Linked DNA regions of Daphnia pulex. Each later gene encodes a partner of the first gene's protein in a complex. Links are inferred from orthologs where the notes say so. Each region holds a gene or a part of one and is shown in the gene's direction. Other genes may lie near its edges.

Evidence for each region.
Region 2: nuclear pore complex protein Nup205-like (region 1) and nuclear pore complex protein Nup54-like share a complex: the UniProt entries of both Drosophila melanogaster proteins name them as parts of the nuclear pore complex. The link is inferred for Daphnia pulex from reciprocal best matches to the Drosophila melanogaster genes Nup205 and Nup54.

The regions. Positions count from the first base shown.
Region 1 is NC_060022.1:5,063,063-5,067,649, reverse strand, and holds the start of nuclear pore complex protein Nup205-like, read left to right. Parts: upstream 1-1,734; 5' UTR 1,735-1,914; coding exon 1,915-2,049; intron 2,050-2,107; coding exon 2,108-2,580; intron 2,581-2,640; coding exon 2,641-3,411; intron 3,412-3,470; coding exon 3,471-3,898; intron 3,899-3,956; coding exon 3,957-4,106; intron 4,107-4,176; coding exon 4,177-4,400; intron 4,401-4,462; coding exon 4,463-4,559; intron 4,560-4,587. UniProt on the Drosophila melanogaster protein: Plays a role in the nuclear pore complex (NPC) assembly and maintenance, but with limited role in NPC permeability. Required for specific nuclear import pathways such as Mad import.
Region 2 is NC_060022.1:6,652,329-6,656,758, reverse strand, and holds the start of nuclear pore complex protein Nup54-like, read left to right. Parts: upstream 1-1,319; 5' UTR 1,320-1,490; coding exon 1,491-1,548; intron 1,549-1,856; coding exon 1,857-2,288; intron 2,289-2,346; coding exon 2,347-2,619; intron 2,620-2,697; coding exon 2,698-2,848; intron 2,849-2,908; coding exon 2,909-3,341; intron 3,342-3,411; coding exon 3,412-3,675; intron 3,676-3,742; coding exon 3,743-3,859; intron 3,860-3,932; coding exon 3,933-4,031; 3' UTR 4,032-4,430. UniProt on the Drosophila melanogaster protein: Component of the nuclear pore complex (NPC), a complex required for the trafficking across the nuclear envelope. Essential for the nuclear import of nuclear localization signal (NLS)-containing proteins in an importin alpha/importin beta-dependent manner.

The DNA.
Region 1 (4,587 bases):
CATACAGCATTAGGATCCGGAGAAGAGCTTTTTCCAAAAGCTTGGGTATTCAGTATTAGGAGCTTCCTCTTGTTTTGTTTTGAGTTCTTCTCCGTTTGTTATACATTCTTAAGTGACCTTGACTGCGAGCCAAGCAATAGCAAGTTAGTTGGCAGAATCTTTTGGAAGGCGTTCATCCCGACCCCGCCGCTTCTGTCCTAACCACACTACCAAAACTTCTCCTTTCTCTCAAATGGCGAAAAAAGAAAGTGGACAAATTCCCATCACACATGCATGTAAAATCTTTACGGGGCACACACAAGCGGCAAAGAGGTGTTTTTCTGTGGATCACGAACGACATTTTTTTTTCAGGATCTCAAATCAGTCTAGAAAGTAGACTCCACAACGACGAGTTATGGAGAGCATCAAAGATTGGATGTGTTTTTTGACCTTATAAAGATATACATATGGTGAAAGCGTCTAGGAGGCAACGACTGGCGATAAACAAAACCACCGTTCTTCGAATTTGAGGAAATAAAAACTTGGGAGGTTTTGAAATAAAAAAAATTAAAATGCTCAATCCTACGATTTCCTCCCCTCCCTTATATCTTTTTCTCTCTTCGCAGTGCGATTGACGATTGGATTTCATTTCTTTATTTTGAGCCCCAATATGCGAATCCTGTAAATAAATGTAACAAGGAAAACATACCCAAATAGGTGGACACCACCGTTCCTAAACGTCCGTCTCCTCACTTCAACCTACCCAACTCTTATGATTATTGTGTTTCTTTTTTTTTTTTTTGAATTTTTTGCCACAATCAAACCGTCAACAGTTCTTTTTTGTGTGTGCGTGAATGCGTGTCATTGAAAGGAAAAAAACCTCTATTCTCGCCCTGATCTTCCTTCATATTTTCCTCATTTACCTTGTTTGAACACTGAAAATTTTTTAAAAAGTAAAAATTATCTTATAAGAAAAATTCTGCTAGAATCGACTTTGTATGTGTGAGTGAGTGTGAGTGTTCGTCTATGGCAACTTGTGGCACAGCGCATCGTGTCTTCGTAAGTGTGCGTCTGTATTATCAAGTCAGTTGGATGACATTAGTGTAATTTGTACAGGTGAAAACAACAAAAAAAAAACAAATTCTCAGTGCTATTATTCTATTTTGTATCGAGATGACGCGTTGGACTCGGTCTCCCAAATTGGGCGTCATTAAATTCTGAAAAAAAAGCGATGTCATCTTTATAATGTTTTCTCGAGCGAAACTGAACTTTTCCCGTATTTCCTTCTGCTCCAACTCCACCACCACTCCTCCACAACAAAAAAAAGCAGCTGAGAGCATTGCTTTTTTGTATAATGATAAAAGGGAACAACTTTTTTGTGCTTGTCGATTAATTATTATTTTTCATTTTCGTGTGTGGTCGGTCTTTTTTTTCAATCTTTTTTCTTGTGCGTGTTATACGTGACTGTTGTGGACAAGATAATGTGTACAGGATAATTTGCAGTTCATTTGTAAATATTACTTGTTACTCTTTTGATTACAAACCGTCTGATCATTCTTAAAATAAGCTGATTCGTTTTTACTTTATTTTTCAAATATCCACACCCTATTTTGAGAAAACAATAAATCCATGGACGAATATTGAATAGATAGATAAATGGGTTTTTGGCGGTAATCGTGTTTCAATTTCAACGCAATTGTTTCAATTTTCTTACTGGCGGGAATTTACTTTGAATAGATGGCGCTGTGATGGTAGGTGGCGTTGGCATCATCTACCGACTACCGGTACGAAAAATTATCACACGACAATTCCCCACAGACGAATTCGAAGTCCAAGTTTCGAATACGTTCAGCTTTTGCCCTTGTGGTTATTAGGTTTTTTTAGTGAAATAAGCTTTACTTTTGGTTGAACTGTCACAAGTTTTAAAATCAAAAGATGTGGACCAAGTCTAAGGACCTCCACAGTCTGGTTGAAGACACAATTAATAACCAGCAATGCAACAGCCTAGACAATCTGGAGAAAGCATTGAAAAATCACCGTTCAGATTTCTCTGCCCTTCTTAAACAGCCGGTAATTTCATGAATCAGATTAAATCTGTGTTCTAAGCTCAAGTCAAATTCATTTTCAGGCAAAAAATCTCGATGACAGAAACCTTCTCCTAAAATCTGTCAAAGAACCTGTTCTTTTCCCTGGAAGAAAGACGACTGCTTCACTTGAACAATCGTTTGTGGATGAAGCACTCATTATCTCTGATATGTTTAATCTAAACGAAAATGTTGCTGTTGAACTTTTACACACAGCAGAACAGCAAATGCATTACTATCCAGAATTAACCAGGGGTTTGATTTCAGTACTGCTGTACTATGATGCTAGACGTGCCATTGTCAATTCATTAAAAATTCTCATCCAAGCAAGGAAAGGAATTTCATGGGCTGTAGACACCAGCGAACAAGTTGTTGACTTAATAACAGAGTACACCGTTAAATTGGTGAAAAAAGGTTTGGTAGATCAAATCATAGCCCTGTTAAGTCAACTGAACCTTGAAAAGGAAATCAATTTGCTCCACGAAAACCGAGCTCTCGGTGGACCAAAACACAGAAGGTTTGTTTACAATTAAGATTAATATTTCTTTCTTTTAATTTTTTGTGTTTTTTATTTTAGACAAGTTCATGATTTCTTCACTGAAATAAGGCAGTCGTTAGCGGACATTGTATTTTGTTTGGCTGCTCAAAATGGACTGTGTAGGGACGATACACTGCTGCTAGTGAATTACCTTTCATCTGTCGAACAAGTCGATAACGTCAACGTCACTCTTTTCATGGCTCTTTTGTATGCTATTGATATCAGCGGTATCGTTAGAACTGAAGAAAGTGAAGACGTCGTCCGGTTGTTACCCATCACTTCGGAAAGTGCATTTGTTGCGACTATTCAAAAGCGTCTGACAGAACCACTTCCTTGGAAGAACATTGGCCTTCAAGCTTCAGTTCAACTTGCCTGGGCAGTGACTTTGGCTACTTTCCGTTCGCTTTCATCTGGACTTTGCGCTCCAATTCAAATGCAGGTTGACGAAGACGAAGCCATCCTAGACGTCGCGTTAGAGGGAAAAGCTTTGAATTTTCTCAGTCATCTACTACAAACCAAAAATCATATCTACAAAGAGGAGTTTTACTTACGGCGATTACATTCACTTGTGACGGATCTAATTGTTCAAATGCCCCTGAAAATCAAAGATCTTCGTAATAAGGCCGATGAAGTTGCACGTAACATCTTTGTCTATCAGCAAGAGGGCCTTGAGCCACCTTCAAACCTGCCGCTGGATTTTCAATGGTTGCTTAACTTTATCGCCGTTCTGTACGGAGAGGATCCTCTAGAGCTGGAACTGTGTCTTGAATTTTGGTCTAGTGACATGGCCAATGCTGGAGTAAACTACAGGTATATGGTTATTGTTTATTTTGAAATAAAAATAAAAACTTATCGCCTTTTTAATGCAGAGTCTCTCAGCGACAAATGGCCCTATATAAGTTTATTCGTTTGGCCGGGGATTTGCTACCGCCTTCTCTCTACATTTCTTATGCCAGCATGCTTTGCGGATTGGCAAATGGAAAGAGGGCAGCTCACCAAGCCTTTACCCTTCTGAAACAAAACAGCAACGGCGGTCAAAGCAATTTGATCTCTTGGGAACACTTTTTCTCATCACTCCACAGATATTTTAACAGTTTGCGCCAAGAGTCGCTCCCTGTACCGGACACCATCTACCGCCACAAGCCCCTCACAAAAGGCATTACACCACAGGAGGTTCAGGGATTGCAGGTCGTTTTGAAGTTAATGCGAATCGTTCTCCAACATGACCCTGTTGCCAGGATATCTTTGGCCGAGAATCCAACATGGATACCATTAGTCGTGATGATCGGACTCTTAGGTAAGTAAAAGCAAATAGCTATCGAATGAACCCGAAAAATACATCTTCTAAATTGTAGGCTGTGCTGTGCCATTGAGTTTGAAGGGAGAGATCATGGAGGTTCTTGCAGCTTTCGCCCAGTCACCTGACATCGCATATACACTGTGGAACAGCATTGAAATAGCTCAGATTTTGTCAACTACAAGCATAGTTTCAACAAATGTCAAAGGTTTGTGCATGAAGATAATTCTATATTAATTTCCTGCCCAGTAAAAAACAAAAAAAGGGTTGAATATTAGGTCTCCACACGGAATTGGAAGATGTTGAGTCTCGAGCTGAAGAATACCCCCTCACAAGAGCCTTTCTTAAATTACTGGACGTGATGACTGATATATCCATCCCAACCAACTTGGGAACTGGACATAGAACGCCTGGATTTGATCCCTACTTATTCTACGTTAAAGATTCCGTTTTCCTGAAATTTAGTGGTAGGGCGTACCGCAATGAAACGGAAAAATGGCAGGTTTGTTCGTTTAGGTTTAAAAAGTTGTAAAACAAAGTCTTAACATTGACTTCGTTTTGTAGATTGGAAATGCCTGTGTAAAGCTATTTTTAAAATTGCTCTCGAATTACGAACCCAGTGTGGATGATTTTCAGGACTCCTACATTGAATTACCGTCTGGTAAATCATAATTAAGTTTTAAGAAAAC
Region 2 (4,430 bases), about 1.6 Mb from region 1:
AACATCATGTGAAGCTGGACTACTATATCGGAAACGAATGGACTGGTGGAGTCGAATGGTTGATTATCGACCAGATCGACATTTTGACTGAACTCCTTCCAACACTGAATGAACAAGAACTTCACCGATTCAAGCGGACTCTCTACAATTTCATTGGAGACGACTACAGATTTAAAATAGTCGAAAAGGGCAATCTCCTCCATCTTGCCTGCTGCTCCTACACAATTATAACGAAACTCTTTCCCCTAAACGTCATGAAATTGTTACTGGAACTCGGAGTCGACCCAAGTGCCACCTCGTCCAACGGAATGACGGCCCTTCACGTGCTGGCCAGTATTGAATGGGAGCGCTGGTCGATCAACACCATAGACGCCATCCAGTTACAGTTGTTGGACTCGGATGCTCATATCGACCAGCCCGATGATGTGGGCATAACACCTTTGGACCTCTTTAAACTAAAGGAAAAAGAACTGGCTGAAAACGGGATCTCAAATGTTTACCTTGGGGCCGTTCACATATGACGTCACGGACTTTTTGACGATTTTACACCCCCCCCCCTCCCCCCTTTGTCACAATTCATCACAGTAGGTATACCCCCCCTCTAATATGACGTCACAAAGTCAGATACCCCCCTCCCTTTTTAAAAATTGTTTGAGCCCCTAAAAATTCTTTATTTTCTGTATTTTCTGTAGTTTTTAATACAGAACACAATGTTGTTCATTATTTTCTTAATTGGTCAAGCAAACGAGGTGCTTTGCTCTAACGATCCAAAAAACTAAAAGAAATTTAGGAAGTTGCCAACATATCCCACTTGGTGGCGCTTGTGTAGTGCCTTGTGACGTCCCACTGTGAATACCCCCCCTACCCCCCCTCGTCACAATTCGTCATACAAGGTGCACCCCCCTCCCCCCCCTCGGCCCGTGACGTCATATGTGAACGGCCCCCTTCAAAGACTGATTCATAAAGTGCGGCCCCTCACATGTTTAGCTGCCCAAGTCGTGAGCCGTCATGGAATCCCATTCGACGACCTGCCGTCCAGTTTAATTTCGTTTGTCAACCGTCACTCATTCTTAAATTGGAATAATTGATTGGAATGTAATGCAAATTGTCTTGGTTAAATCATCATTAATAAACTTGTTTTCTGATCAATTTCTTGTGTTAATTTTTTGCGTGTAAAAGGGGAGAGAATGGACGACCTTCGGGAATGACGAGGTTGATTTAAATTTCTTCGGTTGAACGGAATAGAAATATTTGCGGTGGACTTTCGCTTTTCTGTCTTCCGCCAAAGTTAAAGGATTGGTTCTTCATCGTTAACCGCTAGATGGCATATACCTCCTTTCTTCTCGCTACTTCCACAGAAAAAATGTAGTTTCAAGTTTTGAACGTGAACGCTAACGATATCATTGAAAATCGGCTTGTCGACTTTTTTACCAATTAGACAGATACCAAATAAGATTTATACAAGAAAGTAAGGATAACTTATTCTTGAAATGGCATTTTCTAGTGGAAGTCTTTTCCAACCAGCCCAGTCTACTACATCCAACACAGGTAATACACACAAACTAGTGTCAACTCCAGCATTACTATATATTTGAATGATAATTATCTAAGTGAAATCATTTTGCCTTCGTTGTTGAACATGCTACAATGCATGGCTTTTTCATTTATTTTCTGTTTATTAGTTTTTCTTGAGATTACATTTTCTAGTCCAACCAAATGCTGCAATCATTTTTGTTCAAGCACAACACTGATTGAGAATTGTTCATTATTTTATCATAGAAATAGGAGATAACAAATAAAATTTTATAGAATTAAACTTATGTGTTGCAATGCATTTGACTCATTTTCACTTCTAGGAGGGCTGTTTGGAGGTACTGGTCAGACTGGTACTACTCCATTTGGAGGCTTTGGTGTGCAGCAAGTTAGCACAGCAAATCAGTCCTTTTCATTTGGAACTCCTCAAAATTCTGCTTCAACATCAGGATTTGGCTCTCAACAAACTAACACCACTGCAACAGTACCTTCTTTTGGTTTTGGCAGTACCCAACCTACTTCAGGTGCTCCAGCGTTTGGATTTGGTACCACCCAAACTAGCACAGCTGCTCCATCGTTTGGATTTGGTGCAACACAAACAAATACCACTACACCTGCTTTCGGATTCGGTGGAACTAATACTGGTGGAGCTCCATCATTCAGCTTTGGGCAGCCACAGACAAGCAACGCTGGATTCGGTTTTGGCACTGGAGCCCCTGCTGTCTCATCGTCGTCCGGACTTTTTTCTGGAACAGGTAATATTTTTTTATGGAATGACTTGGAACGAATTATTTGACTACTTTTCTGTATTAGGATTTGGATCTTTTGGAACATCTCTGGGAGGAACCGGGATAACAACACCAGCTTCTAGTAGCTTTTCTTTGGGAACTACATTTGGAAGTACAGCCCCAACAACAGGCCTGTTTGGTCAACAACAACAACAAACGTTTGCTCCTGCTCAGCAAGCCGGTACTGTTGTCGAATCTGTTCTCTCATCCGTACTTTACTGTAACATTTACGGTGATGAGCGCGATGCAATCTTGGCTCGTTGGAATCTCCTTCAAGCAGCTTGGGGAACCGGAAAAGGTTTGACTCCACCTTAATTGCGGTTCAATTTAAATATTAGAATGTCTTCATTTTACTCACATTGTTATTGGTGTCTAGGATTTTACTCTGGCACGGCTAGTGCTATCCAATATACTGCAGAGAATTCATTGTGTCGCTTTAAAGCCATTGGCTACAGCAAACTACCACAAGGAAAGAATGAAGATGGAATAATTGTTTTGCTGTTTAACAAACCCGAAACAGATATTCGGTAGATAAAATTATAAAAACCGTAATTGCATATAGATTTATTTATGGATTCAATTTGCAGGCGAGACCAAGCTCAGTTAGTCAGTGTGATAACTACGGCGCTGGGCAATAAACCCAATCTGAATGTGTCCGTCGAGGGCGTGTCTGGCCTAGACACAAATAAGACAGAGGTTTTGATTTGTGTTCAAGAACGCTCAGCAACTGGCGCAATTCATAAAGTGCCTGCCATTGAATTGTCTAACTTCCTTTGGAATCAACAACCATCTGGGATGATGCAGTCGGCTCGTGGTCAGCTCAGCGCACTTGGAGTCGTTTCGTGTGTTCCTAGAGTCCGACCATCACCCGAACAATTGCGCGAATATCTAGCATCGCCTCCAGCTGGGATTGACGCTCGCATTTGGAAACAAGCTCAATCAGAAAATCCTGATCACGATAACTTCATACCCATACCACTGATCGGATTTGGTGACCTTGTTCGTCATTTACACCTACAGGTTCGCATTTCTATATTTAACTTATTCACACTACGCAAATAGTTGAGTTGAAAAAAATAAATCATTGCAGGAGAAAGAGACTCGACGACACCAAGGAACCCTGGACAAGTTAGCTGAGGAATTAGCAAGCCTGCAATCTCGTGCATCAGAAACATCGGTTGCGCTAAGTGAACAGCGACGACGATACATCGACTTGCAACATCGAATCCTCAAAGTTCTTATAAAGCAAGAATGTTCTCGGAAAGAAGGTTTTGCTCTACAGCCAGAAGAGGAACGTTTGCGGGTGCAGCTAGAGTCTGTGCACAATGAACTAAGCATCCCTACGCAATTTCGAGTAACATATATATTTTTCTAATTAAATGTTAAGTTTATAGAATAATGTTTTACACTGTCAACATCAGGGTCGCTTAAACGAATTGCTTTCGCAAATAAGAATGCGCCAATCTGCCTTTACGCCAGCGGAACGAATGACTGAGAGGTACAACATTGAACCAAATGTTTTGGATGATCTGAAACAAGTAAGGAAGTTGTCACAATTTTTAAAGTTAATTTGTTAGCTTTGTCTCATTTTGAATGATCTCGTTCCTATAGGTCCTTAAGTCACAGCAAGAAGGAATGGCTCAGTTAATGAATGTATTGAAAGAAGATTTTAATGATTTGCTTGTTTTAGATAATGCTTTGAAACACTAAAATAGCGACCGAAAATATTCTTCATCAACTAAGTACGAATTTTACTGTTTTCAAGGGTCTAATACACGGAAAAAAAATTTCATTAAAAAAAAATCTTTAGATTCATATCATAATTGAAAATTAGTAGATCGTATTTGATTTTTTACTTTCGTAAGAATATTAGCCAATTTCTCGTACTCGTACTCGTTTATTAGATAATATAGCGTGTTACAATCAATAGTTCATTACATTACACATTGGGTAATACAAACCGCGATTACAATACAAAGAAGTTAAACTTTTACGTAAACAGCAAATAATCGTGACAAAATATTGCTGTCCGATAGTATACTAATTATTTCTCGAAATGGAAATTTACGAGATAGGCAATTTCGATGGTTTAGTTCACGGTCGTGTCCC